7 linked regions of the Ovis aries genome follow. The protein of the gene in region 3 interacts with the protein of the main gene of each other region in a biochemical or structural test. Links are inferred from orthologs where the notes say so. Each region holds a gene or a part of one and is shown on either strand. Other genes may lie near its edges.

Region 1 (3,944 bases), on a different chromosome or scaffold from region 3:
AGGGCTCGCAGCTGGTTTAACGACTCAGGCAGCAAGACCACATCCTCCTCCAAACAGGCACACCCCCAAACCCCAATTACAGCTGAGCAGGGTCCTGATTTGTTTCGCTATTTCTGATTGAACTTAGGTTTGTCCTGTTACTTGTACATGCAACTGATGCTGGACACTATCAGAAGCAAGCAGGTGGGGCCCACTGTGAAAGCCCTTTGGGACCTGGTGACAAGCCAAGTGGGTTGCAAGTAGGGCCGCCTTCTGCCACAGTAGCCCACTCGTGCCCGGGTGGCCCAAGGCGCCCTCCACCTACCTGACTCGAGTGATAGCATGCTACGGCCAGGGCCTGAGTGCGGGTGCTGGTCTGCATCGTGGGCACCCCCCCACTGCAGCAGAGCGGTCAAGGGGTTAAAGGAGAGGCAGAGGAAGGTGAGGACACACAGCAGGATGCGGGAGCGGTCCACCATGCCCAGCGCGACCGGAGAGTCTGGCTCATCTTTGACCTTCGAAACAGGGGGCCGCGAGGCGAGAAGGAAGACTGCAGTGAGTTTTTATAGCATTTTACTTTTTATATATCGGAATCGGGACTCTGAGATTTAAATTCAAGACCATGAAGCTGGATGGGAATAAACTCAGGAGGGAACTAAGAGGTTCACGCCTCTCCCACTGCTGCTCAGACACGGGGCCCTCGCCTAAGGGGGAGGGCCCACCTGGGAGAAGAATGCATTCTAAAGACCGGAGGGAGAGGGGCCCTGCTGTTACCACAGTGCTCCGACACAAAAGAGAACACCCTGAGGGATTCTGCTTCTGTGTAATTCCACAACAGGCAAGCTGATCTAAAGCGACTGAAGGCAAAATCAGAAGTTAACTCTGCGCCTGGAGAGGTATGGGTGAACTTCCTGCAAAAGTGTACATTCATGGGAGATGAATATGTTCTGTATCATTTTTTTAAAAACCTAGAAAGGATTTACTCATTTATTGTTATTTTTTAGTTAAAGTATAATTGACCTACAAACATTATGTTGGTTCCAGGTACACAACACAGTGCTTGGACTATTTTCATACATGACACTATCTCTACAATAAATCTAGCTGCCATCTGTCACCAGACAAAATTATCACAACATTACTGACTATTTTCCCCATGTTGTAAAGCTCTTCCCTCTGACTGATTTATTTTTTTATCTGGAAGTCTGTATCTCTAAGTCTCCCCCTCCTATTTCACTCACCCTCCCACACCCCTCCCCTCTGGCAATTACCCATTTGTTATCTTTATCTAAGCATCTGCTTCTGTTTTGTACTTTTTTTCTTTTTAAGATTCCATATATAAGTGAAATTCTTAAAGAGATGGGAATACCAGGCTGCAAGGAGATCCAACCAGTCCATTCTGAAGGAGTTCAACCCTGGGATTTCTTTGGAAGGAATGATGCTAAAGCTGAAACTCCAGTACTTTGGCCACCTCATGAGAAGAGTTGACTCATTGGAAAAAACTCTGATGCTGGGAGGGATCGGGGGCAGGAGGAGAAGGGGGCGACCGAGGATTAGATGGCTGGATCACATCACGGACTCGATGGACTTGAGTCTGAGTGAACTCCGGGAGACGGTGATGAACAGGGAGGCCTGGTGTGCTGCGATTCTTGGGGTCACAAAGAGTCGGACACGACTGAGCGACTGAACTGAACTGAACTGAACTGAATACCAGATCATCTGACCTGTCTCTTGAGAAACCTACATGGAACAACAGACTGGTTCCAAATTGGGAAAGGAGTACGTCAAGGCTGTATATTGTCACCCTGCTTATTTAACATATGCTGGAAGAAGCACAGCTGGATCAAGATTGCCGGGAAAAATATAAATAACCTCAGATATGCAGATGACACCACCCTTACGGCAGAAAGAGAAGAGGAACTAAACAGCCTCTTGATGAAAGTGAAAGAGGAGAGTGAAAAAGTTGGCTTACAGCGCAACATTCAGAAAACGAAGATCATGGCATCTGGTCCCATCACTTCATGGGAAATAGATGGGGGAACAGTGGAAACAGTGCCAGACTTTACTTTGGGGGGGCTCCAAAATCACTGCAGATGGTGATTGCAGGCATGAAATTAAAAGACGCTTACTCCTTGGAAGGAAAGTTATAACCAACCTAGGTAGCATATTGAAAAGCAGAGACATTACTTTGTCAACAAAGGTCCATCTAGTCAAGGCTATGGTTTTTCCAGTGATCATGTATGGATGTGAGAGTTGGACGGTGAAGAAAGCTGAGCACAGAAGAATTGATGCTTTTGAACTGTGGTGTCGGAGAAGACTCTTTAGAGTCCCTTGGACTGCAAGGCGATCCAACCAGTCCATTCTAAAGGAGATCAGTCCTGGGTGTTCATTGGAAGGACTGATGTTGAAGCTGAAACTCCAAGAGATACCCCACGCCCTACGTAAGAGAAACCCAAGAAAGATGGTAGGTGTTGCAAGAGGGCATCAGAGGGCAGACACACTGAAACCATACTCACAGAAAACCAGTCAATCTAATCACACTAGGACCACAGCCTTGTCTAACTCAATGAAACTAAGCCATGCCCATGGGGTAAACCAAGATGGGCGGGTCATGGTGGAGAGGTCTGACAGAATGTGGTCCACTGGAGAAGGGAATGGCAAACCACTTCAGTATTCTTGCCTTGAGAACCCCATGAACAGTATGAAAAGGCAAAATGATAGGATACCAAAGAGGAACTCCCCAGGTCAGTAGGTGCCCAATATGCTACTGGAGATCAATGGAGAAAAAACTCTAGAAAGAATGAAGGGATGGAGCCAAAGCAAAAACAATACACAGCTGTGGATATGACTAGTGATAGAAGCAAGATCCGATGCTGTAAAGAGCAATATTGCATAGGAACCTGGAATGTCAGGTCCATGAATCAAGGCAAATTGGAAGTGGTCAAACGAGATGGCAAGGGTGAACATCGACATTCTAGGAATCAGCGAACTAAAATGGACTGGAATGGGTGAATTTAACTCAGATGACCATTATATCTACTACTGCGGGCAGGAATCCCTCAGAAGAAATGGAGTAGCCATCATGGTCAACAAAAGAGTCCGAAATGCAGTACTTGGATGCAATCTCAAAAACGACAGAATGATCTCTGTTTGTCTCCAAGGCAAACCATTCAATATCACAGTAATCCAAGTCTATGCCCCAACCAGTAGCACCGAAGAAGCTGAAGTCGAACGGTTCTATGAAGACCTACAAGACCTTTTAGAACTAACACCCTAAAAAGGCGTTCTTTTCATTATAGGAGACTGGAATGCAAAAGTAGGAAGTCAAGAAACACCTGGAGTAACGGGCAAATTTGGCCTTGGAATGCAGAATGAAGCAGGGCAAAGACTAATAAGAGTTTTGCCAAGAAAATGCACTGGTCATAGCAAACACCCTCTTCCAATAACACAAGAGAAGACCCTATACATGGACATCACCAGATGGGCAACACCGAAATCAGACTGATTATATTCTTTGCAGCCAAAGATGGAGAAGCTCTATACAGTCAACAAAAACAAGACCAGGAGCTGACTGTGGCTCAGATCATGAACTCCTTATTGCCAAATTCAGACTTAAATTAAAGAAAGTAGGGAAAACCGCTAGACCATTCAGGTATGACCTAAATCAAATCCGTTATGATTATACAGTAGAAGTGAGAAATAGATTTAAGGGCCTAGATCTGATAGATAGAGTGCCTGATGAACTATAGAATGAGGTTTGTGACACTGTACAGGAAACAGGGATCAAGACTATCCCCATGCAAAAGAAATGCAAAAAAGCAAAATGGCTGTCTGGGGAGGCCTTACAAATAGCTGTGAAAAGAAGAGAGGTGAAAAGCACAGGAGGAAAGGGAAGATATAAGCATCTGAATGCAAAGTTCCAAAGAATAGCAAGAAGAGATAAGAAAGCCTTCTTCAGCGATCAA
Region 2 (3,944 bases), on a different chromosome or scaffold from region 3:
CTGGCCCCTCACCCCGTGGGCCTCACCTCCTCCACCTCTGCCATCCTGACCTCCTGCTGTTCTTCCAACACAGCAGGCACACTCCAGGCCCAGGATCTCCGCACTGGGACTGCCCGTCTCTCCCGTCCACGTGACTGGCTTCACTTCCTGCAAGTCTTTGCTCAAAAGTCACCTTTTCGACAAAGCCTTCCCCAAGATAAACATCTCATTTCTCCTATCCTTTTTACTTCTCTTTCCTCAGCAGCAATCGTCACCTAATAACCTACGTTTCTCGCTTATTGGTCTTCTGCCACCAGAATGAAAATTTCAGAAAGGCAGGGACTCATCTGTGACCTTTGACAGTACCTGACACACAGTAAATGCTCAGGACATATCTGCGGAATGAATGAACAACGAGGGCAGCAAGACAGCACTAATGAGATAACAGGATGCTCACACACCACACAGAAGCTAACGAACTCGAGGGGCTTCCCTGGTGGGCCACTGCAGCGGGGTGAAGGTTCTACCCCTGGTTGGAAAACTAAGATGCCATGGTGGTCGGCAAGAAAACTAACCAACTAGAGTTTATTGCAAGGACCTATGTGCAAGGTCAGCATGATACAAGAAGGAATCCAAGAGGCCCCTGAGGACTACTCACCTGTACAGAATGACTGCCTGCCGGGTGCAGGTGACTGGACATCTCCCACCTGCGTGAAGATCTCTACGGTGTAGGAGGAACCAGGTATTAACTTGGTGACTGTAGCTTGGGTAACGCCGATGCCTGTGACTATTGGCGTGGCGTTGCTGGAACTTCCATTCCGCCCAATAAGAAGGCAGTAGGTATAGTTTGAAGAGGCTTTATCAACATTCTGCCAGTTTAAGGTTGCTGCTGTGGTATTGGTCATTATCTCAATGCTGGACACCTTGTTGGGCCCTTAAGTTTTAGGGGAAAAAAAAAAAAGGATGGATTAACTTGAGCCATTTTATTGACTGCATCTAAAAATAGCCTGGACATTTTTTTTCTTTTTTTTTTCATTAAATTTAAAATAAAAATAGACTGGTCCTTTGGGTAAAGAATAAATAAAGCTAATACTTGCTGGGATCAAAAAAGAGGAGGCTTCCCCAAAAAGACATTTAGAAAATAATTATGCAGATTAAATCTCAAAAGAACTGAAGCTTTTCAGACTTCTTTTAATACTTTATCTGAAATCTATTTTCAAGATGTAATTTCCCACCTGTTTTTAAAATATGATTAATGAAACAAAAATATACAAAAAAGACATTATCAACTTCCCTCTCTACCATATATTTAGGTCAAATATTACCAAAGCATGTCCCTCACTGGTGCATGCGAAACTGCGTCCTTTGGGCAGCATCTTCCATGTCAACATGACCGGGTGACCCCTCCTCCAGTCTGTATTCCCGAGGAATGAATGAATACAGATGCTCCCCATGCTTATGGGATGCCCTTCTGCTTCGGAAGACAATTCCAAGTTCACATGGCTCAGCACCAGTGCCGCCAGGGCAGGGCAGAACGTTGACTGAGCCCAATGTCTTCAGCTTACTTGGTTTCACATTGTACCTGGAGCCCAGAAACATAAGGGCCTCTTGCCTCGTCACTGAACCTGTGCTTATTTCCCCTCCTCCAGGTGAAAGGCTGGGAAAATGCTTCCTCAGGAGGGTGTCCTAAAACACTCACGTGTGTACTGTAGAGTGGAGTTGGCCACCCCCTGGACCAAGTTCATGCTGGGGGTGACTGTGATTGTATATAAGGTGCCCGGGGTCAGGCCGTGGAAGGTGATCCCTGTGTGAGAACTGTTTTTCAAATCAGAGCCGTGTTCAGACCATATTTCTACGCTGTAGATGTACCCGGTAGCGTTGTCTGTGTTCCGCCACTGCAGCTGCATGTCGGTTGTGGTGACGTTAACAACACGGATGTCAAACACTGCACTGGGGTCTGGGCAGAGGAAAGGAAGAAAAAGGGAAGTCTGTCAATGACCATCGTAATGTCCAGCTTTATTCTAAAGTATCTGCCCAGAGAACTTGCTCTTCTGTCATCAAATGAGTTCACAAAGGGCAACCTCTCTAACACGCAGGCAAGAAACAGTTTCTTTCAAGACTCTTGGCTCTTCTGCAACACCAATGAATTTACCAACCTATCCTATCAGTTCTCTGGCCTTTTGCTTTTGTCATAGAGACATCCCCTTGGTTTGGGGGTGGTTGGGAGGGGGTCTTCTAGAGTGGAAACCATGCTCAGTTTTTCTTAATCTGAGTGCTAGTGACCAGATGGGTTCGGTTTGTAAAGACGCATCAAATTATGCACCTAGGATGTGTGTGTGTTTCAGCGTAAGTATTATATCTCAGCAAAGTTTTTAAAAACCACTCCCTCGGAAGAAAACATCTTTCTATAACATAGGCAGGCATACTGAAGAGAAAAACTGAAATGGAGAGTTGACACTGTGGGATCACTTGAGGCTGGAGTGCGGAAGGCGGAGAAGCCACGGGGCGCATCCTCACAGCAGGGAGTCAGAAGCGAAACTACCCAGAATGCTCTGGGCTCTGCACTCACCGTCTCACCTCTACACACTGAACCAGCCGCAATATAATTGCACAGAATCTTTTTTTTTAAGATTTTTTTTTTAACAAGGACCATCTTTAAAGTCTTTATTGAATTTTGTGGTAGTAAAATAAAAAGGGTGCAACAGTTAGCATCTGAACCATTTGTAAGTGTACAACTCAGCAGCGTTAAATACATTAACAGCATGGATAACACCATCATCACTGTCTAAACACAAAGCATTTCATGATGCCCAACACAAACTCTGTTCCCGTGAAATAAGAACTTCTTGTTCCTCCCTTCTCCCCACTGCTCTATCTTCCATCTCTATGAATGTGCCAGTTCTAGGCGCCTCACATAAGTGGATTCACGTGGTAGCTGTTCTTCCACGTCGGGCTTTTTTTGCCTAGCATAATGCTTTCAAGGCTTATTCCCACTGTAGCATGTCTTGGTGCATCATTCCTGTGTGGCTAAACAACATTCTATTGTGAGGCGTCCCTGGTGGCTCGATGGTAAAGAATCCACCTGCAACGCAGGAGATGCGGGTTCAATCCCTCAGACTGGAAGCTACCCTGCGGGAGGAAAGGGCAACCCACTCTAGGATTCTCGCCTGCAGAATCCCATGGACAGAGGAGGCTGGTGGACTACAGTCCACGGGGCTCACGAAAGAGTCAGGCACAACTTAGCAACTAAATAACAACAACTATTCTATTCTATGGATATAACACATTTCATCTGCTGACAGGACACTTGGCTGCCTCCACCTTTTAGCTATTGTGAATCACGCTACTATGAATGTTGGTGTTGAGAAATATGTTCAAGTCCCTGATTTCAATTCTTTTAGAAATATGTATACATGTAAGAGTGGAATTGCTGGGTCATCCAGTACTTGCTTCCCTTTTTCAAAATCACCTTTAATGCTGTTACATTGATTCTCCCCCAGTAACAGCTCTTGATTTCCATTCATTGGGACGATTATAAGCAATAGTACAAGAGATGCCTTCTCCTTACAAATAGTCCTAAATTACTTCTGCAGTTGCTCCATATCGAAGTGCAGTCCACACCGTGGTTAAGACCTCAGTCTTCAAAGTCAGACAGAGGCCAGTTCACTCCCTTGTCACCCTGGGTCAGTTACTTAAGTTCACAGACTCCCCGTTTCCTACTCTATAAAATAGAGATGATAATAGTACCTACCTCATAGAGTTGTGTTCAAAATGTTTAAATACAAAGGCTGAGAGCCCAGCACTTTGTAGACCCCCACTACATAATGTTATTATTGGATTAAACTCTGAGAATTGGCAAGTCACACAACATCGAAGGGACCCAAACTGTGATCCCCTTATCATTAGCTACATTCTCAAAAAGAGAGAAAAAATATATATGTTGATACTATAACCTGATCTCAAAA
Region 3 (4,437 bases):
CCTGTCTGCGCCTCTCTTCCTCATCTGTAAAGGGGAAAAAAAATCCTTTTTAGAGAGTGGTGGTAAAGATTAGTTGAGAGATGACCCAGGCAGTGCAGCCAGCTTGGTGCCTGGCACGTTGTAAATGTTCGGCAAATGTGAACTAGTATTGCTGTTATAAAAGACTGAGCCACATGGCTGTTGAGAAGGTTAAATGAGATTATGTATGAACACCATCTGGCAGGCAATAAATGTTTGCTTAAAAATAAATGCCTGCCTTATGGGGATGGTTTGTGCAAGACGAATGAGGAGAAACTTCCCAGCGGCACGCTCCTACTCCGGGGGCTTGGCCCTACACCCGAAGACAGAGGAGTAAATGTCCTTTTATACTCTAAGATAAAAAAAGAATTAAACATAAACAAACAAATAAACGTCATGTGGGTTGTTTCTGGAAGACTCAGTTATGGCTGTCTTTCAGAGTCAGCCTCAAAAGGGCCTTCCGAGAACACCTGGACCAACCCTGCTATTTTAAAGATGAAGAGGCCCGGCATGCTGCAGTGACTTGGTTAAGGTCACACGACAAGCTGAGGGTGAGTGTGGAAGTTTCCTGCCCACAGTTTGTGGTGGGGGCTGCAAACAGTGCAGTACAGATCACCACTCTTGGGGGAAGGACTGGGATGGTGGGGGTGGGTGGGGTAGGGGAGAGGTGATGAGTGTAAAAGCTCCTAACAGAGCCAGGCAGGAAGTGGACCCACAAACTAGGAAAGCAATGTGTGTGTGTGGGTCGGGGGGGCCACAAAGGCAGGTCTGTTCCTCCCTGGGCAAGGTACGAGTCCACAGGTGACTGGGGTGGGACTCTGAGCAGGAAGTCCCAGAGAGGGGACAGGTTCTTGTCTGGGGGAGGGGAAGAGGCAGCCACAGAAGCACTTGATTTTATTTCAGTTTTCTGAGCCTCAGTTTCCTCATCTTTGAAATGGAGCTGCTGAGACCCATCTCCTAGGGCAGTTGGGAGTTAGAATAGGAAATGTCAAAGCACTCGGCTTGAGCTGCACCAGACTCACAGTAGGCCCTCAAAACAGGGCAGTGTTCTTCCCGCCTGCCTTCCTGCCAGTCTGAGGACCCAGAGAAACAAGAACTGCCATCAGTTAAACAGAAGAGCTGACTGTGGGCAGAGGCTGGATCTCCTCACAGAATTGCCGATGTCAGAGGACAAAGCTTCCACAGGGCTCATCTTGCCCAGCCCCCTACGAAGCCAAGATCGAGAGAACAGACTTGCCCAAGGCCACACTGCCTGGCCGCAGCAGGCCAGGATTCATCTGAGGCCTCTCTGCCTTCTTACACTGTGGCCTCTTGACCGCTGGAAAGTTTCCTTTACTGGGTTTGTTTGGAGGGAGGTTGGGAAGAAGGGAAGAGAAAACAAGCCCCTGTTCTCCCAGCCCGGCTCTGAGGCTGGGCCTGGCCAGCCGTCTGGCCCAGGTGAAGGATACACATCCCTCATGGCTTCCAGGGTGGGTGCTCGCAGAATGTCTCGGATGCCAATGACATTCTCATGGCGGAAGCGCAGCAGAATCTGAATCTCTCGCAACGTGCGCTGGCAGTAGGTCTGATGCTCAAAGGGGCTGATCTTCTTGATGGCCACTCGAGTCTTGCGCACGTGGTCGTAAGCTGAGCTGAGAGGGCCAGAGAGATGTTGGTGTCCAGGCCCGGTGGCCCCACCCAGGCCTTGGCAGGGCGGGGAGGGAGCAGGAGAGGGCTCTGGCCAGTCATAAACAATGCTAGTTCCTTCCTGCTGTGAAGGCCTGGGATCTCCAGGGAGAAAGCTGGGGACCAGCCAGCCAGCCCTTCGGTGACTTCACAAACAGAGGAAGAGACTGACCGCTCACTGACTTCCCCTCTCCTCAACCCTTTCCATTCGAGCTGCCCTGACCCCTCATCCTCCCCTTCCCACGATGGGCTCTCTCAAGCCAAGACGGGTCCAGGGGGTGGGAGATGTGGAGGACTGGACAATGAGGCAAATACAGTGAGAAGGAGGGAGTCGGAGGAGGGACTGGAGAGAAGGGAGAGGCAGGGCCGGGGCGGGTGTCAGGGGGAGGTTCCTGGGCAGCAGAGCTATGTCCAGCTGAACAAAGGCCCAGAGCACCCAGTGCGGATAGGAGAACTCACAGACCCCTCCTAAAAGTTGCAGGAAGGTGTTCCTGGACCCCTCATGGCTCACTGGGTCCCTGGCCCCAGGCCCAAAGCCCCACCCCACCCCACCCAGCCCTGAGCTTTGCTCTTTTTTCCCAAACTCCTTGGCAAGCCTCACTGGGGGGTGATCCAAGACATCCTCTCCCCAGTGAGGGGACCCTCTCTCCTTCTTCACTAAGGATATCACCTCCCCAAGAAGACTAATTCTCTTCTCCTCACCCCGTGATTATGGGGTCCCCAAGGTCCCCAGAGCTCCCCCACATACACTCTGATGCCCTACCCTTCATTATTGAATAGTCAGTTCAAAGCTCCCAAACCTCCTCTCCTGAGACCTTACGCAGTGACCCCCTCCCCCAGAAAGCACTCAAAGGCCCTCCGCCTGGGACGCTCCCCAGCCTCCTGAAGCCCCGGCTTCTTCAGGATGCTCAGAGTCCGCAAGGCCCAGAGAGCTCTCAGCACCCCTCTCCGCCCCCTCCCCAGAGACGCCCCCTCCCCCAGAACGCCCCTCACCTGACCATGCCGTACGCGCCCTCGCCGATGTACTGCAGCTGCGTGTAGCGCGGGCCCACGTCGAACGGCTGCCCCTTTACTATCTCCACCTCCCCCGGGACCCCCGGGCCGACCCCATCAGTTCCCCGGGGCTCCCCGCCCCCGCCCCCCTGAGCCGCCGCCGCCGCCGCCATCTCCACTCCTCCCCTCCCGCCCGCCCGCCTCCCCCCGGCGGCCCCGCCCGAGGCCCCGCCCCTTCCCGCCCGCCCTCTCACCCGCGGAGCCGCGCGCGCCAGGCCCCGCCCCCGTCCGCCCCCGCGGCGTCACGTGACTCTCCCCGCCGCGCGCGCGCCGTTTTCCCGCTGCTGGGGCTGTGGTCCCTGGCACCTGTCGGCCTCGTCTGCTCCAGTCAACGTAGAAGCTCCCCAGGGCAGTCTCGAGACTGTCCAGACCCTCCCCCCCCACCCCCGCCACCGAATGCTGACCGGTAGGGCGGCCCGGTGACCTCACCCAGAGCCACCTAGCAAATGAGTGCTGGAGCTGGGACCCAGACCGGGCCACGTGGCCCCGCTGTGCCCACTCGGCCCGAGGAGTAGCCCGGGGCTCGAGGTGGAACCTCCTGGAGCCAGGCCCGATGCCGAGTGATATGATGCTTATTTCATAGTAGCCGTGACAGGTGGCTTCCTCACACATGGGGCCTCTTTCACAGATGTGGAAACTGAAGGTGACTGGGCAAGGTAACTTGATTGCTGGAAAGCCCAGGCATCTTGACTCCCTGCCTAATGGTTTTCGAATGGAGACCTGTCAAAGTGGGCTAGGGACCGGACCTCAGCAACCTGGCAGTGCCTGTATCCTGAGGACAGATAATCCCAGCCTACCTTTACATGGAGGCATAGGGAAGAGGTGAGGGCTGCGTGGACTGGGTTTGGTGAAAAATACACTCTCAGGCTTTACTCAGAAACAGCAGGATAGCTAACATTTTTGTTGTCCTTGGATTTGACAAAAATTGGAACCGAGATCATCATCTTTTGCTCCTGTGCTAGACTTCATAGTTTACACAGCATTTGGTCCACTTTAATTTCTTCATTAGAACCACCCCACAGTGTAGGTGTCATCTGGTTTTCTGAGCTGGATGAGCAGAGGGCCATGTCTGTCTTGTTCATTGCTGTAGCCCCCACCCACCCCCATCCCTACAGTCAAATGTAGACACTCAAAAATTTTGGAATAGGTGAATCAAAGTTTTACAGAATGGGAAATCTGAGAGTTGAGGAGCTGAGACTAACATGTATCTTCTGACACACAGGCAGAAGTTCTTTTTAATTGCATTCTGTCTCCCAGACTGTTAAACTGAAGAGACCATCCAATCCATCTCCACTTCACAGTGAAGATGTGAGCTGGGAGCTTCACAAAACACATCTCCTAGGCTTCAGGAAGTAATCACGTTGTTTTTGTCTTCCTTGGAAGCTGGGAGTATGTCCTTGTATGCACTAAAGATCAAGAGACAAAATGGAACAGAAATTATGATTCTGAAATTGCTCATAATTAGATCTATGGTCAGGCATTCTAATTCAGATTAGTAACACTGAGAGTTGCTAGTTCCCAGGAACCCACAAGTCAGTGAAGGTTCAAGATGTGCTAATTAGATCAATGGGTTTTTTTGTTGGTGGTGTTATTCATTTGATAAGCTATTGACTGGCACTGTGTGCAAAGCTCTGAGCTAGGAACTAGGGCTGATAAAAGATTACTGGATAGTGTGAATTAGTAGTTAAGAGCAAGAGCTCT
Region 4 (3,944 bases), on a different chromosome or scaffold from region 3:
CTTGCTTTCTATGGGCCTTACTCTCTGTATCTTTGAAATGCCCATATGTGTTCTCTCAATGTCTAATTCTACGATTCTGTGAATTTAATTATGTTTATTTGGGATGATGTTTATTCTAGCAAATTTGTTAAGAGTGGGACACAGCAAGGTGAAGTAAAAATGAGACTGGGTTTATTTAGGAATGAAAATGGTGGAGGTGGTCGGGGAAATCTGAAAAGTGCCAAATTTAGAAAACACTGTAAAGGAAATATTCGTAGTTCTAAAGACTGGATTTCTCTCCAATTAAAAAACCACATTTCATATTAATCCCATGGTAGGCTTCCCTGATAGTTGGTAAAAAATCCGCCTGCAATGGAGGAGACCCTGGTTTGATTCCTGGGCCGGGAAGATCCACTGGAGAAGGGATAGGCCACCCACTCCAGTATTCCTGGGCTTCCCTTGTGACTCAGCTGGTAAAGAATCTGCCTGCAATGCGGGAGACCTGGGTTCAGTCCCTGGGATGGGTCAATCCCCTGGAGAAGGGAAAGGCTACCCACTCCAGTATTCCAGCTGAGAGAATTCCATGGACTATACAGTCCATGGGGTTGCAAAGAGATGGACACGACTGAACGACTTTCACTTCACTTTCACACACACGTGGAGTTCCCTGGCAGCTCAGTAGTCGAGAATCTGACTGCCAAGGCAAGGGGCGAAGGTTTGATCCCAGGTCTGAGAAGATTCCATATACTGTGGGGCAACTAAGCCTGTGCACTGCAACTACTGAGCTTGTACTCTAGAGCCCACAAGCCACAACTACTGGGGCCCATGCACCCTAGAGCCCGTGCTCCGCAACAGGGGAGCCACCGCAGTGACACGTCCAGGCATTGCAACTAGGGAAAGCCCACGTGCAGTACAAAGACCCAGCACAGCCGAAAGGAAACTACTTTATTTCATTTAGAATTCCAAGGGGTCGCAAAGAGTCAGACACAACGGAGTGACTTTCACTTCATAGTGGGAAAAAGTGACCATTTTGACAACAAAAACAATGAGAAGCAAAACTGTTGAGGAGGAAAGATATCAGGGTGTTTTTTGGAACAGCTCAGTAATAAGCAATCAATTGACAAATATATCTAAATGACTTTTCTTCTGGACATTTTGTTGAATAAGTCAAAATAAATTATAAGGCCATAAAGATTGGAGAAGAAATTGTCAAAAAGTGAAACTTTGATATGAAAATGAACTTCCTTAAGGAATAAAAATACACAGAGTGAAATCAGAGAATTTTGACCCTAAGGGAGATTTTTATATTATCAGTTAACACACAATCAACAGCTTTCATCTCAGAGTCTCCTAGAATTGGGTTGTGTCACACTAACTGTGCAAAATTTTAAATGAAATATTCCACGCAACAACCTACCTCAGGGGAGACGTCTGTAATTCCAAACTGGGATAAACTCTGATGCAAAACATTGATATTGAGGGAACGCAGCACTTCTTCAGATGGCAGAGCATCAGAAAACCCTGCTTTCCGATTTATGGGAGACACAAATAGTTCAACACTGTTCTTCTTTTCCTAGGAAAAGCAGATTATTTGTATATGTTAGTAGACATGTGAAGCAAGTCTGGGAAATATTTTTTGCTTTTCCTCTAGAAATATTAAAGAAAACCAGAACCTTAGATTCCTAAATGGCATCTTGGAGATCACTTTTATTAAGTATTCTTTTGTACACTTAAAATTAGCAGCCCAAAGTCCCACATCTTCAAATGGCCTTCTTTCAGTTAGTTAACATGTCTAGTTTTCTAATTTTATATTTCATTAGATGCTGGTTTATTTTCTATTCGATACTATAATTTTTGAGATATATTGTTCAGATGTTTCCTGAGAAATTGTGTTTAAAGAAGTATTTTAAAATCGAATGAACTAAGCAAAATCTGATTTAACAGTACAATTATAAGACATCATCACCCCATCTTATAACTTGCATTAATGTGAAGACTGGACTAACTAAGGAAGGCGATGCTGTCTTTGAACTTACTTCCCTGATCCTGTTTTTCACCTTAAATATGTCACACTCTTAAGATCTATTGTTCGGTAGAAATGCAAGTGTTATGCAATGATATCATGTTACTTTCCTATTAGTCTGACCTCATTTGCTGGGACAGGGTGAGAGGACTTCTTACCATAAATGGCTGATGTGCCACACACCCATAAGAAACAAACATGACACAAAATGATGCTGCCATCGACAGATTCTCTTTCACAACTTACGCAAAACACTTATAAAGAAAATGTGGTTAGCTTTTCTTTTCAATACACAGAATTTTATCCTGCTAGAAAACTTTCTTTTTTTTTTTTAAAGGAATATTTTCTTTGAATGTAATTTATCAGACATTCACTCAGGTATAAAATGGAGGACAGCTAGCAATCCAGGGAAAAATGTTTCTGTGTTTGCAGCAAACAACAGACAACAACTGGATATCACATAATGCTGATGTGAAAGATGTTGATAATAATTCAAATAGTTTATGATCTAATAGCAATGATAGTAGGGAGAGACCCTTGTTTTGTACTTGTCATGCTTCCCTGTGCCTTAAACCTGTTACCTCCAGGACAGAGGTATTATAGTCATTTCATGTTATAAATGAAAGAAACTAAGTAACCTGCCTTAGGTCATAGAGCTGGGGCAAGGCCAAACTGGAAATGAAATAGAATTCTGGGTCTGTCTCCACAGCACTTGCTCTTAATCACTATACTGTGCTTCCTCAGGTGTCGTCATAACTCAAACTATTACAAAAACTACTCTTAGAAACAGACATGCATAAATGCTGCTAACATTCTCTGAAGATATGCATATCCCTCTCTAGGTGTGGCAAACCCCTCTTTTACCCTTTCAAAGAGCCATTATACTCTTTAAATCTACACACAGAAGAGTATATCTAAGATATCTAAGTACATATATATATAAAATCTAGATCTAAGACATCTATAATACCTCACTTCTCACTTGAGTTAGGTACACTCTGGATATAAATAACTTCTTTCAAGGTAATGAGAAATGCTATATTTCTTCTTCTATTGTCAAAAACTTTGTTTTTTTTAAAAAATCTTATTTAGTCCCAGAGATTAGCTGACTCACAGAATAAAAGTTATTATGGGGATGAACGTAATTCATCTGCCACACAGGAAAAAAGGAAAAGAAATAATAATTCTAAACCAAAATTAAAAGCAAATTCTTCTCCATATGTGGAAATGCAGGTATTGATGCAGTATGAAACTGGGCCCGAGCAGGAGCCTAAGAATTTAGGGCAAGGAGAACGAGAAGTCTTTGCTTGAGTTTCTAAGGCAGCAGAAATTAAGAACAACTTTAAAACTGTAAAATATTATTCCAAAGTCCCTTTTCACAGGAAGCTTTGATAATATGCTTTTTACAAAGAGAAAATCATAATATTTTAATCTGCCTTTCTTTTGCTCACACCCACTTTCAAGTACAGATGGGAACATGTAGTTGGATGATATCAAAGTCCCTAAATATTGAGGAGAGGAGGAAAAGAAAGGATATGGCTGATTGATAGGTCTAAAGTGGGCCTAATAGAAAAGATCCCTTGGGCTTACTTCGTCCCACTTCAATTACCCATCCAAGTTTTCTCTTGACTTTTCAAGACTATTCTTGCATTCTCCTTGGACTGCTGTCCTTCAGGATGGTTCTTCTTCACTCTTTATTCAAAATCCTCTGCCTTCGTGTTCACTATCCTTTATCCTCTTATACCTAAAGGGATTTTAATAGATGCTGTCTGGAGACAGAGTCTTGCCTGATACAAAACATTTCTCTCTTAGGGAGAATATTTTGGGAGGAGTGTCAGATTGGTGAGACAGGTATTCAGGGCCTTTCTATTTTTACCTACCAGGGTAGCTAGTCTTGAACTATGAGAAAGTTGACAAACATTTTCTGTAATGGACCAGATAA
Region 5 (3,944 bases), on a different chromosome or scaffold from region 3:
CACACCCAGAAGTCCTCACAGTTACACACAGAGGGCAGTCACAGACAGATACTGCACAGACATACCCAAAGGCCATCACACAGTCACATCCCCTCACCCAAAGCCATCACTACTGTCACCCACAGGCCCTCTCACAGGATCAGTCACCTGTAAGTTAGACACATGCACACTCACTACCACATACAGAGTCTCATCACGTGCACCCCGAATCATACCTCATAAGCAATGGGAAGCACCAGACGGTGCCAGGCAGCCAGGTAGTCAGCATCACCCATGCGGGGCCCATTCCAGGCCACATTGACAGTGAATCCTGTGCCTGTAGCTTTACCTATCCGGGTACAGGCACCCTCATTCCCCATGGGAAAGAAGGTACCATGATCATAGCGGTGCAGGGAAATGTACAGCACACTGTGGGGACAGGGTGGGAAGGGGGGACAACAGCTGGTTAGCAAGGTGCCCCTGAGGCATGGCCTGCCCATCTCCCTGACCACACTCCAGCCCCTGCCCCAGCCCCTCACCTGGGGTCCTCCTCAAATATGTGCTGAGTTCCATTACCATGATGGATGTCCCAGTCCACGATCAGGATCCTGAGGAGGGGACAGCACCTTAGTTACCTGGCAACACTGGTTCCCTGGGGGAGGGCAGGGGCTACATCCCTGGAGTCTGTGTGCCGGGACATTTACTGCGGGTGGCAGGACCCTGAGTCCCTGGGGAAAGCGCTGGGTGGCAGGCTTGTGGGTCCTATCAGAGTCCTAAGGGCTTCACAGTGGGCCAGAGCAGGTGCTCAGGGCCAGATCCTAGGCCCCATGTGGATAAGTGCCATGGGCCTTTTGAAGTAAGCACCAGAAGCCAGCCCCTGGGTTCTGTTAGGATAGTCATCAAGGGCCAGAAATTCTGGGGCAGGGGACCTTGGATTCTGTTTGATAAGCACCTGCATGCCACAATCTGGGGATCCCATTTGGGTCAGGCCCCAGAAGCTAGATCCTCCTTGGTCCTTTTCTGGAAGTGCTGGGCAACTGGACCCTGGGGTGGTCCTGGGTAACTTTGGGGGCTGCATTACAGGGCCTGCTGAGTAAGCACTGGGCAGTGGGGGCAGGGAGCCTTACCGCAGTGCATGCCCACTGATGGCCTGGGCATGGCGAGCAGCCACAGCCACAGAATTAAAAAAACAGAAACCACAAGCTGCATCCGGCTCTGCATGGTGGCCAGGAGGTCGCACTACAGCAATGCCATTCAAAACCTGGGGGAGGGGCAGGAAGCAAAGATTAGACCACCCACCCTCACCGCTTTCCCTCCCCTTCCCTGTCTCTTGTGCCCCTACTACTCCACCAGCTGCTAAGGCCTCCTCCCCACAGCCCTGTAGGCCCCATCCCCCTGGGTGCACTTCCCTGTGAGTAAGGCCTCTGGCGAGCTGGGGCTGTAGTCCCCTTCCATTGCGGACTGCTCTCCAAGTCCCCTTTCCTCAGGCCTGGCCCAACTCTCAGAGCTGCCTCTTTCTTGCCCGCCCCCCCCCTCCCAGGACTTCCTTGCCAGGAGCCCAAGGTCCCCTCCCCAAAGCACAGGCACCTCTCCTGCCAGTACTGCCTCCACCAGGCGACAGGCGGCGCCTGCAGCCAGCTGTGCGCAGGCAAAAGTGCTGGAGCAGATGTAGATGGAGTCATAGTTGGCACCCTCACGGCGCAGCTCCCGGGTCTTCATCTTCTCCGTGGCCCGCAGACGTTCCAAGTGCTCAGCACTGGAGGTACAGAGGGGGCACTTGAGAAGACAGCCAGGTAATTCTGTCCCCTCCACATCCTTCCCCACCCCATGTCTTGTAACAGCTCCATGTATCAGAGAGGCAAGCCCAGGCTCCATGCTCTGAGGCCCATCCTACCCTGGCCACATGGGTCTGACCTGTGGCAGGTGAGCAGCTCAGCATCTGTAGCAGGCCTTGCGGGCAGGGAGTGGCAGCGCTTGGCAAGGCCCAGTTCGTCCAGGTGATGCATGATACAGTGGATGCGCTGGGGCATCTCAGGGTGGTAGCTAGGAGTGAGGGAACAGAGGCAGGGCTTACTACTGAAAGCGGGGGTCCCTCCCCACTTCCCACTTAGCCTGGTTCTCTGACTGCTTACTTATCCCACAAGTTGTAGTGCTCCATCATCCGCTGGTCATAGACCAACCCCGTGCGAGCCTGTAGCACCGGCCATATCGGAATGGAGAGCTCAGAGGACTGTGGCAGTTTCTCTTCCTCCTTCTCTTCCACATCATCCTTCTCCACAGTGTCCTTTTCTTCCAGGCTCTCAACTGCAAGGGGAGGCCACATTCACCCTACTCCCTTATGCCGCCCCCAACCTAGATCCCTGTAATACTCTGGAACGAGGTTTACCCAAACCTAAAAAGGGGTGGGAGGCCTGAAATCAGGGCCCAGTAAGAGAGAGGGCATGATTCTCCCCTCCCCCCAGCAAGGTGGCTTCCGGAAGGTCAGAGTGGGGTCTGAAGAGAAACTCCTCCCACAGCTCATTCCTTACCCAACCCCTGACCCAACATACTCCCTGACACCTACCTGATCTCACAAGGCTCTCCCAGAAGGGTTCCAGGGCTTCTAGAGCACAGGAGAGTGACACCTGGGCACTGGAGGTCAAGTGAGGGAGAAATGTGACCAACCAGCTCCTGAATGAGCAGTGAGGGGCCTGCTTCTCCCCTCCTCCACCTGGGCTTACCTCGGGCAGGGGGCACCAGGAGACTCTAACATAGGACAAGGGTCACCCAGAAGGGTGTGGAGGGAGGCGCTGACACCTTCAGCCAGAGAGCGGAGATTATAGCCACCCTGGGAGAAGGAATTCATGTGAGGGTGGGCAGGAAAGAGCCAGATGTTATCAGAGAAGAGTATGAATGACACTGGGGTGGTGCTGGCTGCATGCCAAGGCATTTGAAGGGTGATTTCATTTGCTGAGCAAATAGTCTGAGGTGGTTACAACTATTATGATACACCTCTGACATAAGGGAAGCAGAGGCCTAGGGAAGTTGAGGGACGTAGGTGAGGTTGTCCAGCTAGTAAGTGGAAATGCTGGGACAGGAACTTCTGCCAGATTTGAATGTTGTTCTTCTGTCTTCCAGGATCCAAGGGCTGAAGTGGAATGAGTCACTCACCTCCAGTGAGAGGATCAGCTTGCCTTCTGCCAGACCCATGAGCAGATGGGTGAGCTGGGCGAACCCTGCTGGAGTGGCGGCCATCTCACCCTGGGGGGGACACGGAGGGTCAGCCTGGCTCCACAGGGCCTCCTTCTGCCCTCCCGCCATCCCCAAGTACCTGCCTTACCTTGGGGTCCCCTTGGAGGGCATCAAATCCAGCGGCTACCAGGACCAGCTGGGGCTGGAACTGAAGGAGGGAGGAATCACATGAGGCCACCTGCTATCATGGCCCATCCTTCAACATCACCTCTGCCCCAGCACACCCCAGAGCCCCAGGACCTCAAATGCAACTGGCAGGAGGACGTGAAGGAAAGCGGCGATGTAGTCAGCATCTTGCATCCCCACCTGCAGACAGGGAGGTATAATGGGGACGTGCTGCCATCTGCTCTGAAGGGCAGAAGTGGGTCTCACTTTGGGGGTGAAGGGTATGCAGACACTGACCTGGTTCCAAGGCACGTTGATGGTGTATCCCTGGCCTTGGCCTAAACCTGTGGTGGACCAATTAGAGGCCTTAAGATGGGGCCAGAACCGACCTTGCTCATAGCGGTGGATGGAGAAATAGAGGACACTGGAGGCAGAGAAAAAAAAAGAGGTGGGGGGTTCAGTCAGTATTCCCCAGAAACCTCCAACCCACAGCTACCACAGTTGACTTAACCACTCATTCATTCTCTCAATAATTTCCCCATGAATTTTTAAATTCATATATTCATTCTTCCATTCAGTTGCCAAATTATTCATCCTCCCATTCATTAATTCTTCCATTTATCCATTAC
Region 6 (4,725 bases), on a different chromosome or scaffold from region 3:
AACTTGGGATAGATCAAGTTGGTATGCTGTGAAAAGTCAGCAGCTGTAACATTTCATGATTCAATGCATAAAATATGTTGAGTTCCTCAGCTGAATAAGTAGTATAAACAAATACTTTCTCTTTTTTTTAAAAGATACAGGGCGGGTGTTGCCATAATCTAAGGACCTCTTTGCTGTTCTCAGCCAGTGTTCACCTGAAGGCCAAAAATGCTCTTTTTAAAAAAGCACTTAGCCTTTTACTTTTTTAGAATTTAGGCAGAAAGTCTGAGCATGTGAGAACACTAAGCGAGGCAAATGCAGAAGTTGCCTCTGCTGATACAACCAGCGGATCAACGACACTGGGTGTTAGTGAAATACCCCGCTCTCCTAGAGGAGAGGGGAGGAAACCACAGAATGTTCCTGACTCAGCACCCCAGCCTGATGGCGCAATATTTGTGTTTGTGTGGTGCTGCCGGGGATCGGGAGGTCGGAGGGCTTCACTAGGGCCCAGGATGAGGGTGACCTTATGGAGGTCTCCCCAAACCTTTGTCCAGGTCCTGTAAATCCTCTTAAAATGCTGTAGGATTATATTTCAAGACCAGCTCACGTTGATGGCAAGAACCAGGGCCCTGGGGCTGGACGGTGCTCCGGTTCCCAGTTGCAGTCCCCAGCCCGGCGCTTAGTAGGCGCTCAATCAGTACATGTTTGGGGACTAAAAGAAAATCCCCAGGAAAAGGGAATGGTAACCCACTCCAGTATTCTTGCCTGGGAAATTCTATGGACAGAGGAGCCTGGTGGGCTCCAGTCCATGAGGTCGCAAAGAATCTGAAGAAACCACCACAAAGAGATGAAGCCGCTGAGACTTAAGAAAACGCGAGCAGAAGAAAGGTGTCTGGCGGTCCCTGCGGGGGCGCTGTCGATCCGCACTGGGCGGGGGGTCGCCTCACTAAAAGCCGGACGTCCGCAATCCACAACCGCACCTTGCGGCCCCCACCCTCATTTCAGACCCCTGACCCGCCTTCCTCGGCTCACAACCACGTAAGGACCACATGACTAGGATTGACATTTTTCTGCTTGGGGTTTGGTTGGACCGCATTTTACTTGTTAAATGTACATTTTAAAGTAACAGGAAAGCCTGGGGAACAGGAATGTATTTCCCTGAACACCTCCACCCCAACCTACCCCGGTTGTTCTTGAGCGGACAAACTCAATTTTTCTCCGACCCTCATTTCAGTCTCCCCTCGGCCCGCTCACCCCCAGCAGTGCGATACTGGGCAAGTATAATAAATCGCTTCTCCTCGGGAACCCGTGTTTCCTCGCCTGCTGGGTACGGGGAAATGAGAGAAAGGGGCGCCTGTGTATCCAGTAACAAAGGAGACCCCTTTCGGCTCCGGTCGGCGGAGGAGCGGGCGCCGGGACGCGGCGCGGTGGAGGGGGTGGAAAGGGGGAGGCGGGGGCCCATGGCACGCGGCCCGCTCCCAGGCACTCGCACACGGGAGTCAGCCCTCGGCTGGCAGAGCGCCCACCCTCTCCCCTCCCCGCTGGGCCCGGAGAGTGGCCCGGACCAGCTCCCTAGGGACGCGCCAGGCGCAGGCTGGACGGCCGGGCGGAGGCCGAAGCCCGAGCCAGAGCTTAGCCAGCGGACCCCACTCGGAGGCCGCTGACGTCTTCGCCTTTGGCTGCTCCGGCGCCAAACCCGGCAAGGCGGGTGACGTCACCACACCAGTCACGTGACCGTCATTCAAACAAACAATCCCCTCCCCCACAGCGCGCGCGCGCGCGCGCCCCGCCCCGCGCCGCCCCGCTTGCTTACGCGGAGCCACAATATAAACGCTCTCCGCCGGCTCGGACTCGCTGCGAAAGACTTCGGGGCCCTGGGCGAATCGCGGGTGGAAGGGCCGTCGGGAGAGCAACAAGGAAGCCGAGGCGGTCGAGAGTCCCACACGGCGACCCCTCGCTCGGTCCAAAGGCAGTTTGGGTTTGGCGCAAAGAAAACCGGGGTCGGGCTTTTCCTCGAAAGCCATCGCCCTGCTGTTCGCTTCCCGGGACAAAGAACGTAGGACGACTTGCACGCTGGGGGCGCTGGGGCCGGCCATGGTCATGGAAGTGGTCTCCCTGGACGCCGGAGGCCTCCGGACGCTGCTGCGGGAGCGCGCGGCGCAGTGCCTGCTGTTGGACTGTCGCTCCTTCTTCGCTTTCAACGCCGGCCACATCGCCGGCTCGGTCAACGTGCGCTTCAGCACCATTGTGCGTCGGCGGGCCAAGGGCGCCATGGGTCTGGAGCACATCGTGCCCAACGCCGAGCTGCGCGGCCGCCTGCTGGCCGGCGCCTACCACGCAGTGGTGCTGCTGGACGAGCGCAGCGCCGCGCTGGACTGCGCCAAGCGCGACGGCACCCTGGCGCTGGCCGCCGGCGCGCTCTGCCGCGAGGCGCGCAGCGCGCAAATCTTTTTGCTCAAAGGTACGCCTTCGGGGACGCTCAGGGGCGGGCCTCACGCCCTCCGCCGCCTAGTCTGGGGACCCCTGGTTCTCAGCTGCGGGGGGTGCTGCTCCACCTGAGAGCTTGGACGCCTGAGTCGCATTGTGGGGACTTGTTGGCTTTGTTTGGCTCTAGGAACAAAGACTCGCCTGGGGCTCCCCGGGCTAAACTTCCAGCTCTGGTGGATGAGGAAGTTGTATGAAGGTACCCTGTCTCGGCGGTACTAATGAAAAATATGTGTCTCTTTGTGTTCCCAGGAGGATATGAAGCTTTTTCTGCTTCCTACCCGGAGCTGTGCAGCAAACAGTCGACCCCCATGGGGCTCAGCCTTCCCCTGAGTACTAGTGTCCCTGACAGCGCTGAATCGGGGTGCAGTTCCTGCAGCACCCCGCTCTACGATCAGGTTAGTAGGGGGCTGTGCCGGAGGGGAGAAGGAAGAGCTGGCAAAGGTGGCAGAGCCGCGCTAGTGAAAATATAGAAAGTGACGTGCAGCTTTATTTATAACAGGGGACACAGGAGATTTCATTTATCCCGTGGTTACATGGCATGATGGAGCCGAGCCTGTAATTGTTGGCACTACAGAAATTAGCTTGTTGGCCCTGCCTAGGCAAATGGGTTTAGTCCCTTATTTATTGACACTCTTAACAGTGCTGTGAGGTTCACCCAATATTGAAACTAACTTATCCAGGAGGGAGGTTTTGTGGATGTGGGCACCACCATTGCCGTTGAACAAAGCTTGACAAGCGTTGGATGTTTCTGGATTTCAGGGTGGCCCAGTGGAGATCCTGCCCTTTCTGTACCTGGGCAGTGCCTATCATGCTTCCCGCAAGGACATGCTGGATGCCTTGGGCATCACTGCCTTGATCAACGTCTCTGCAAACTGTCCCAACCATTTCGAGGGTCACTACCAGTACAAGAGCATCCCCGTGGAGGACAACCACAAGGCAGACATCAGCTCCTGGTTCAATGAGGCAATTGACTTCATAGGTAAGTGGAGCAGATGCCTGGGACTTTGCCACACTCCTTCTGTTTCAGTGACTGAGACTAAATTCCATGGCAAGAACTTGAGCAACATAGATTTAAGCTTTCCTCTAGACATTAAAATCAGTCTGGCATGGGCAGCATCCCTGCAAAGTACAGTTTCGATGTCCCACTTTATAAATTAGCAAACTGAATCTCAGGTTGAATTGATCTGTCCAATATCAATCTGCTTAGTGGCGATGCCTTGCCTGGGTTTAAATCCCCGGCTGTTTAAATCCACTGTGCCCACATTGCCTTCATGGACAGTATGTCTGTGATGACATGAGGTGATATCGACCATACTGGACAGGACACATGTGGCATTTCTTAGACACCTGGGGTTGGTTGGAGTTATTCTCCTGGGCTCTCAAATAACCAGCTGCCCTTTGTTTTCCAGACTCCATCAAGAATGCTGGTGGAAGGGTGTTTGTCCACTGTCAGGCGGGCATTTCCCGATCGGCCACCATCTGCCTCGCTTACCTCATGAGGACTAACCGAGTCAAGCTGGATGAGGCCTTTGAGTTCGTGAAGCAGAGGAGAAGCATCATCTCCCCCAACTTCAGCTTCATGGGCCAGCTGCTGCAGTTTGAGTCGCAGGTCCTGGCCCCCCACTGCTCGGCAGAGGCGGGGAGCCCCGCCATGGCTGTGCTTGACTGCAGCACCTCCACCACCACTGTCTTCAACTTCCCGGTCTCCATTCCCGTCCACCCCACAAACAGTGCATTGAGCTACCTTCAGAGCCCTATCACGACCTCTCCCAGCTGCTGAAAAGCCACGGGAGGTGATCTTCACAACCCACCGGGATTCCAGGCTCCTGGAAAGTGGAAATGCAATAACTCCAGGGAAGGGGGCTCGTGAGGGCTGGTCTTTATTTATTTAATTTCACCCAAGTTCCACTGGGTTCCTGAGCAGTTGTAATGATGACTTCACGCCAAGATGTTTGCTGAACTCAGCACATTTCGGGACCAACATACAGTGCGTACATCAAGTCCCTCGGACAGAAAGGGGCAGAAGAGAGAGGACTCAAGTGTGAGAGCCGATTTCTCTTTTTGTCCCTGTTTTCTGAAGACACTTTTCATGCTTGACATACCTACCAGTATTACCATTCCCGACAACGCATATACATATGAGAATATACTTTGTTTTATTTATTTTTGTGTAGGCGGTCCACCTTCACAAATGTCAGTGTCTACTCCTAGAAGAACCAAATACCTCAATTTTTGTGTTTGAGTACTGTAATATCCTGT
Region 7 (3,944 bases), on a different chromosome or scaffold from region 3:
GTATCTTTAATCCTAAGGAAATCGTCAAAATGCAGTTACTTGATGAGCATTTCCACCCACGGACAACTGACCCCAGCCAACTTCAGACCTCATGACGTGTCTCTGTGAGCAGAGCATGGACGGCTGTGAAGATTCGGGGGAGACAGACACAGTGGGGGGAGGGGGCCCACATTTGCATAGTTCCTTTACAGAGCCCCACTCAGGAAAGGGCCCAGGGGTGGGGGCTCGGAGTAGGGGACGGGGGAGGTCAGGAGGGGCCCCTGTGAGCATCTCAGGCCTTGCACTTCCACAGACCTCTTGCCCTGGGTCGTCCAGGAGAAGCACGCCTGTCGCAGGCCTTCCCCCTCTGGGCCCCCACCTCAGGGTGAGGACGTCACAAACTGCAGGCACAGGACACGCCAGGGAGCAGGACGCCCTCCTCAGCAAGCTTCTTTATATGCTCCCCAGGGGAAAAGCGGCCCAGGGCCGTGTTGGGACAGACGTGTGGGCAAGTGCCTGGTGATTCTGGGAGCAGGGTACACTGTGTTTCCTAAACATGGCAGCCTGTGACATCACAACCAGGGACCCCCACCCGCGTCTGACCTCTAGAGAAGAGGCAGTGGGGGCGCCCTAGAGTTTCAATTTTCCCTCCTTGACGAGTCTGTCATTGAGCTGGCAGAGCTGGGCCAGGAAGCCGTCATTGGGGCCGATCTCACGGTTCTGCCTGACGATGCTCAGGGCGGACTTGACATCCATCTTCTGACGCATCATGAGGTATGCGATGACGAGGGTTGGGGAGCGGCTGTAACCCTCACGGCAGTGGACCAGCACTCGGCCTGTGAGAGACGGGGACGTGATGAGCTGGGGCTGGCCCACCACACCTCAACTCTAGTCAGAACTCTTCCCAGGACATGCACATGCAAATTACACTGCCAGGCCATCCTGGGCCCACCAGAATGGCTAAGATGGCAAAGATAAAGATAAAACACACAAAGCACTGTCAGGGATGTGGAGCATAGCTAGGACTTTGATCTGTGGCTGGGGAAAGTGAAAAGGAAAAGTGATAGTTGCCCAGTCATGTCTGACGCTTTGCTAGGACTTTGATCTGTGGCTCGAGAAAGTGAAAAACAGAGTGACAGACGCTCAGTCATGTCCAACTCTTTGTGACCCCATGGACTATTCAGTTCATGGAATTCTCCAGGCCAGAATACTGGAGTGGGTAGCCATTCCCTTCTCCAGGGGATCTTCCCAAACCAGGGATTAAACCCAGGTCTCCCACATTGCAGGCAGATTCTTTACCAGCTAAGCCACCAGGGAGGACCAAGAATACTGCAGTGGGTAGCCTATCCCTTCTCCAACAGATCTTCTCTACCCAGGAATTGAACCAGGGTCTCCTGCATTGCAGGTGGATTCTTTACCAGCTGAGCTACCGTGGTTGGGGAGGGGATCATGGCTTCAGGAAACCATGTGATGGGATCTACTCAAGCTGACCATGTGCATCCCCCAGGGCCTGGCAATTCCATCCCAGACTCACGCCAGATAGGACTGCAAACACACGTCTGCTAAAAGAATCCCACCAGGACGTCATAGGCAGCACTAGTCACAATAGCCCCATACTGGAAACTCCCAGAGGCTGGTCAACAGAAAAGTAGATGAATACTGAGTCTGAACAGTCAACAACTTCCCAGATACAAACTGGATGAAACACACAAATAGGATGTGTATGATCCCACAGAGTAGAAGAGTCAGGGGAATCCCCTGGTGGTCCAGCGGTTAGGACACGGGGCTTCTACTACAGGGGGCACGGGTTCAATCCTGGTTAGGGGACTAGATCCCATATGCTGCGAGGTGTGGCCAAGACAAAACTGAAAAAAAAAGGGGGCCAGCAAAACTGAGCTACGCGGTTAGAAGTTTGGATAGTGGTGTGGAGGTGGGAGATGCGACACTGGGAGGAACATGTGGGGGTTCTGGGGTGCTGGTCAGGTTTAGTTTCTTGATCTGGGGCTGATAGTGAAGGACAGGGAAGTCTGGCATGCTGTCCATGGGGTCGCAAAGAGTCAAACACAACTTAGCAACCGAACAACAAAAACACGGGTGTGTGCAGTGCACTGATCTACACACTGCGATACGGGTACTAACCTACATGAATTTTCCATTTCAAGCAAAAGCAAAATATGAAAACCACCCAAATATCCATCAACAGGTAAATGGATAAACAAATTATGGAATGTCCATCCAACAGAACACTACTCAGCATTAAAAAGGCATTCCTGCTACGGCAACAGCATGGAAGAAACAAAAGAATTATGCTGAGTGAAAGAGGCCAGACCGAAAAAGCACACATCCTGTGCAACTCCATTTACACAAAACTCTACAAAACGTACACTAATGTCTAGTGATAGAAAGCAGATCAGTGGTTACTTGGGAATGGAGGATAGAGAGGAGCAGAAGGGAGAGGTCACAAAGGGAGGTGAAGGAAATCTGTGGGGTGATGGATAAACTCACCATCTTGGGTGTAGTTATGGCTTCAGAGATGTATACATATGTCAAAACTTACCAAACTCTACTATGTGTAGTTTAGGGAATGTCAATTAATGCCTCAACAAAACCATTTCAAAATAGAAGGACCGTGAATGTCAAATACAAACACAGAGAATCAAAACAATGAATGTATGTGTTAGTTGTTCAGCTGTGTTCCACTCTTTGCGACCCCAAGGACTGCAGCCTGCCAGGCTCCTCTGTCCATGGAATTCTTCAGGCAAGAATAGTGGAGTGGGTTGCCATGCCCTCCTCCAAGGGATGTTCCTGAACCAGGGATCAAATGTAAGAGACCCAATGTACATTGCAGACCGCTTCTTTACAGTATGAGCCACCAGGGAGACTATTAAATCCGTCCCCTCCCCCTGCCTGACATCATCTCCTCGTTCCCCTCCTCCCTCCAATCCAGCCAGCCAGCACCTTGGCCTGCAAAAAGTGAAAGTCTTACTTGCTCAGGCCTGTCTGACTCTTAGCGACCCCATGGACTGGAGCCTGCCTGCAATACCTCTTTTCCCAGGTGTTGCTCCAGTGTCCTAGGAAGGTCTTTCCTGCCTACCTTTAAAGAGCCACAATCCCACTCTCTATACCCTGTCATCCCCTTGCTCCCTGCTTGAGTCACCCCCATCCCCTGGGGGCCACACATGTTTTTCACTGTTTACTGTCATCTTCCCCCAAAATGTAAGCTCCTCGAGGGTAGGGATGCCTGTCTGTTTTGCTCCCTGTTGTATCCCCAGCATTGGATGAAGGAAGGAAGGGATGGTCAGGAGAGGCCAGAGCATCATCAACAAGGTTCCTCCAATCTTTTATCAAAGTGGGGAGGCCCCTTGAGCAAGAAGCCTTGGCTTCTCTTATCCCTACTCTCTCCTCACACAGAGCGCTCAGTTCAGGTCTTCATCATCTCTCACCTCTGCCCCTTCACCTCCAAACTAAGCTTTCCCTCCACCCTCACCCTCCACCAACCTACACAACAGCTGGAGGGAGCTTTCTCCAATATAAATGTGACCTGTCACCATTAGTTGGGTAGGCTAGCCACCAAAACGTTACTTACCAGGCTAACTGCCCGCAGCCCCGACACCTTTCCAGGCTATTCATGCTCACCTCTGTGCCTTCGCTCATGTTGTTCCTCCTACCTGGAACACCCTCTCCCTCTTGGCAACCTGGCAAACTCCTATTCATCCTTAAGACCCCAGCTCAACTATTTCCTTTGTCAGCATAAGGACTGAGAACCCCCAATCCTTGAAGTCATAGGAATCTGGGTTTAAATTTTAACTTGCTGGTTGTGATGGTTAAATGTGTCAACTTGGCTTGTCTATGACACCCAATTGCTTGGTCAAACACTACAAGAGATTTTGTAGATGTAATGAACACCTCCGATCAGTTGACTTTAAGTAAAGGAGATCACCCTTGATAAGGTGGGTGGACCTCAT

What was found.
Region 1: of the proteins of MAPK3 (region 3) and SREBF2, one has a biochemical effect on the other in vitro, tested with the Homo sapiens proteins (2 studies listed by BioGRID). The link is inferred for Ovis aries from reciprocal best matches to the Homo sapiens genes MAPK3 and SREBF2.
Region 2: of the proteins of MAPK3 (region 3) and PTPRJ, one has a biochemical effect on the other in vitro, tested with the Homo sapiens proteins (2 studies listed by IntAct, with this or other methods). The link is inferred for Ovis aries from reciprocal best matches to the Homo sapiens genes MAPK3 and PTPRJ.
Region 4: the proteins of MAPK3 (region 3) and PTPRR form a complex in vitro, tested with the Homo sapiens proteins (2 studies listed by BioGRID). The link is inferred for Ovis aries from reciprocal best matches to the Homo sapiens genes MAPK3 and PTPRR.
Region 5: the proteins of MAPK3 (region 3) and HDAC6 form a complex in vitro, tested with the Homo sapiens proteins (2 studies listed by BioGRID, with this or other methods). The link is inferred for Ovis aries from reciprocal best matches to the Homo sapiens genes MAPK3 and HDAC6.
Region 6: of the proteins of MAPK3 (region 3) and DUSP1, one has a biochemical effect on the other in vitro, tested with the Homo sapiens proteins (2 studies listed by BioGRID and IntAct). The link is inferred for Ovis aries from reciprocal best matches to the Homo sapiens genes MAPK3 and DUSP1.
Region 7: of the proteins of MAPK3 (region 3) and DUSP3, one has a biochemical effect on the other in vitro, tested with the Homo sapiens proteins (2 studies listed by BioGRID and IntAct). The link is inferred for Ovis aries from reciprocal best matches to the Homo sapiens genes MAPK3 and DUSP3.

The regions. Positions count from the first base shown.
Region 1 is NC_056056.1:218,721,157-218,725,100, reverse strand, and holds part of SREBF2 (sterol regulatory element-binding protein 2), read right to left. Parts: intron 495-3,944; coding exon 305-494; intron 1-304.
Region 2 is NC_056068.1:76,756,812-76,760,755, reverse strand, and holds part of PTPRJ (receptor-type tyrosine-protein phosphatase eta), read right to left. Parts: intron 1,937-3,944; coding exon 1,679-1,936; intron 914-1,678; coding exon 638-913; intron 1-637. UniProt on the Homo sapiens protein: Tyrosine phosphatase which dephosphorylates or contributes to the dephosphorylation of CTNND1, FLT3, PDGFRB, MET, KDR, LYN, SRC, MAPK1, MAPK3, EGFR, TJP1, OCLN, PIK3R1 and PIK3R2. Plays a role in cell adhesion, migration, proliferation and differentiation.
Region 3 is NC_056077.1:26,691,658-26,696,094, reverse strand, and holds the start of MAPK3 (mitogen-activated protein kinase 3), read right to left. Parts: upstream 2,872-4,437; 5' UTR 2,850-2,871; coding exon 2,677-2,849; intron 1,650-2,676; coding exon 1,467-1,649; intron 1-1,466.
Region 4 is NC_056056.1:149,062,391-149,066,334, reverse strand, and holds part of PTPRR (receptor-type tyrosine-protein phosphatase R), read right to left. Parts: intron 1,553-3,944; coding exon 1,397-1,552; intron 1-1,396. UniProt on the Homo sapiens protein: Sequesters mitogen-activated protein kinases (MAPKs) such as MAPK1, MAPK3 and MAPK14 in the cytoplasm in an inactive form.
Region 5 is NC_056080.1:56,245,786-56,249,729, forward strand, and holds part of HDAC6 (histone deacetylase 6), read right to left. Parts: intron 3,740-3,944; coding exon 3,613-3,739; intron 3,517-3,612; coding exon 3,451-3,516; intron 3,359-3,450; coding exon 3,299-3,358; intron 3,220-3,298; coding exon 3,130-3,219; intron 2,807-3,129; coding exon 2,700-2,806; intron 2,611-2,699; coding exon 2,543-2,610; intron 2,284-2,542; coding exon 2,112-2,283; intron 2,023-2,111; coding exon 1,894-2,022; intron 1,736-1,893; coding exon 1,567-1,735; intron 1,241-1,566; coding exon 1,107-1,240; intron 588-1,106; coding exon 519-587; intron 409-518; coding exon 216-408; intron 1-215.
Region 6 is NC_056069.1:4,709,800-4,714,524, reverse strand, and holds the start of DUSP1 (dual specificity protein phosphatase 1), read left to right. Parts: upstream 1-1,832; 5' UTR 1,833-2,073; coding exon 2,074-2,440; intron 2,441-2,715; coding exon 2,716-2,861; intron 2,862-3,225; coding exon 3,226-3,445; intron 3,446-3,875; coding exon 3,876-4,246; 3' UTR 4,247-4,725. UniProt on the Homo sapiens protein: Dual specificity phosphatase that dephosphorylates MAP kinase MAPK1/ERK2 on both 'Thr-183' and 'Tyr-185', regulating its activity during the meiotic cell cycle.
Region 7 is NC_056064.1:43,407,226-43,411,169, forward strand, and holds part of DUSP3 (dual specificity protein phosphatase 3), read right to left. Parts: intron 816-3,944; coding exon 610-815; 3' UTR 1-609. UniProt on the Homo sapiens protein: Shows activity both for tyrosine-protein phosphate and serine-protein phosphate, but displays a strong preference toward phosphotyrosines. Specifically dephosphorylates and inactivates ERK1 and ERK2.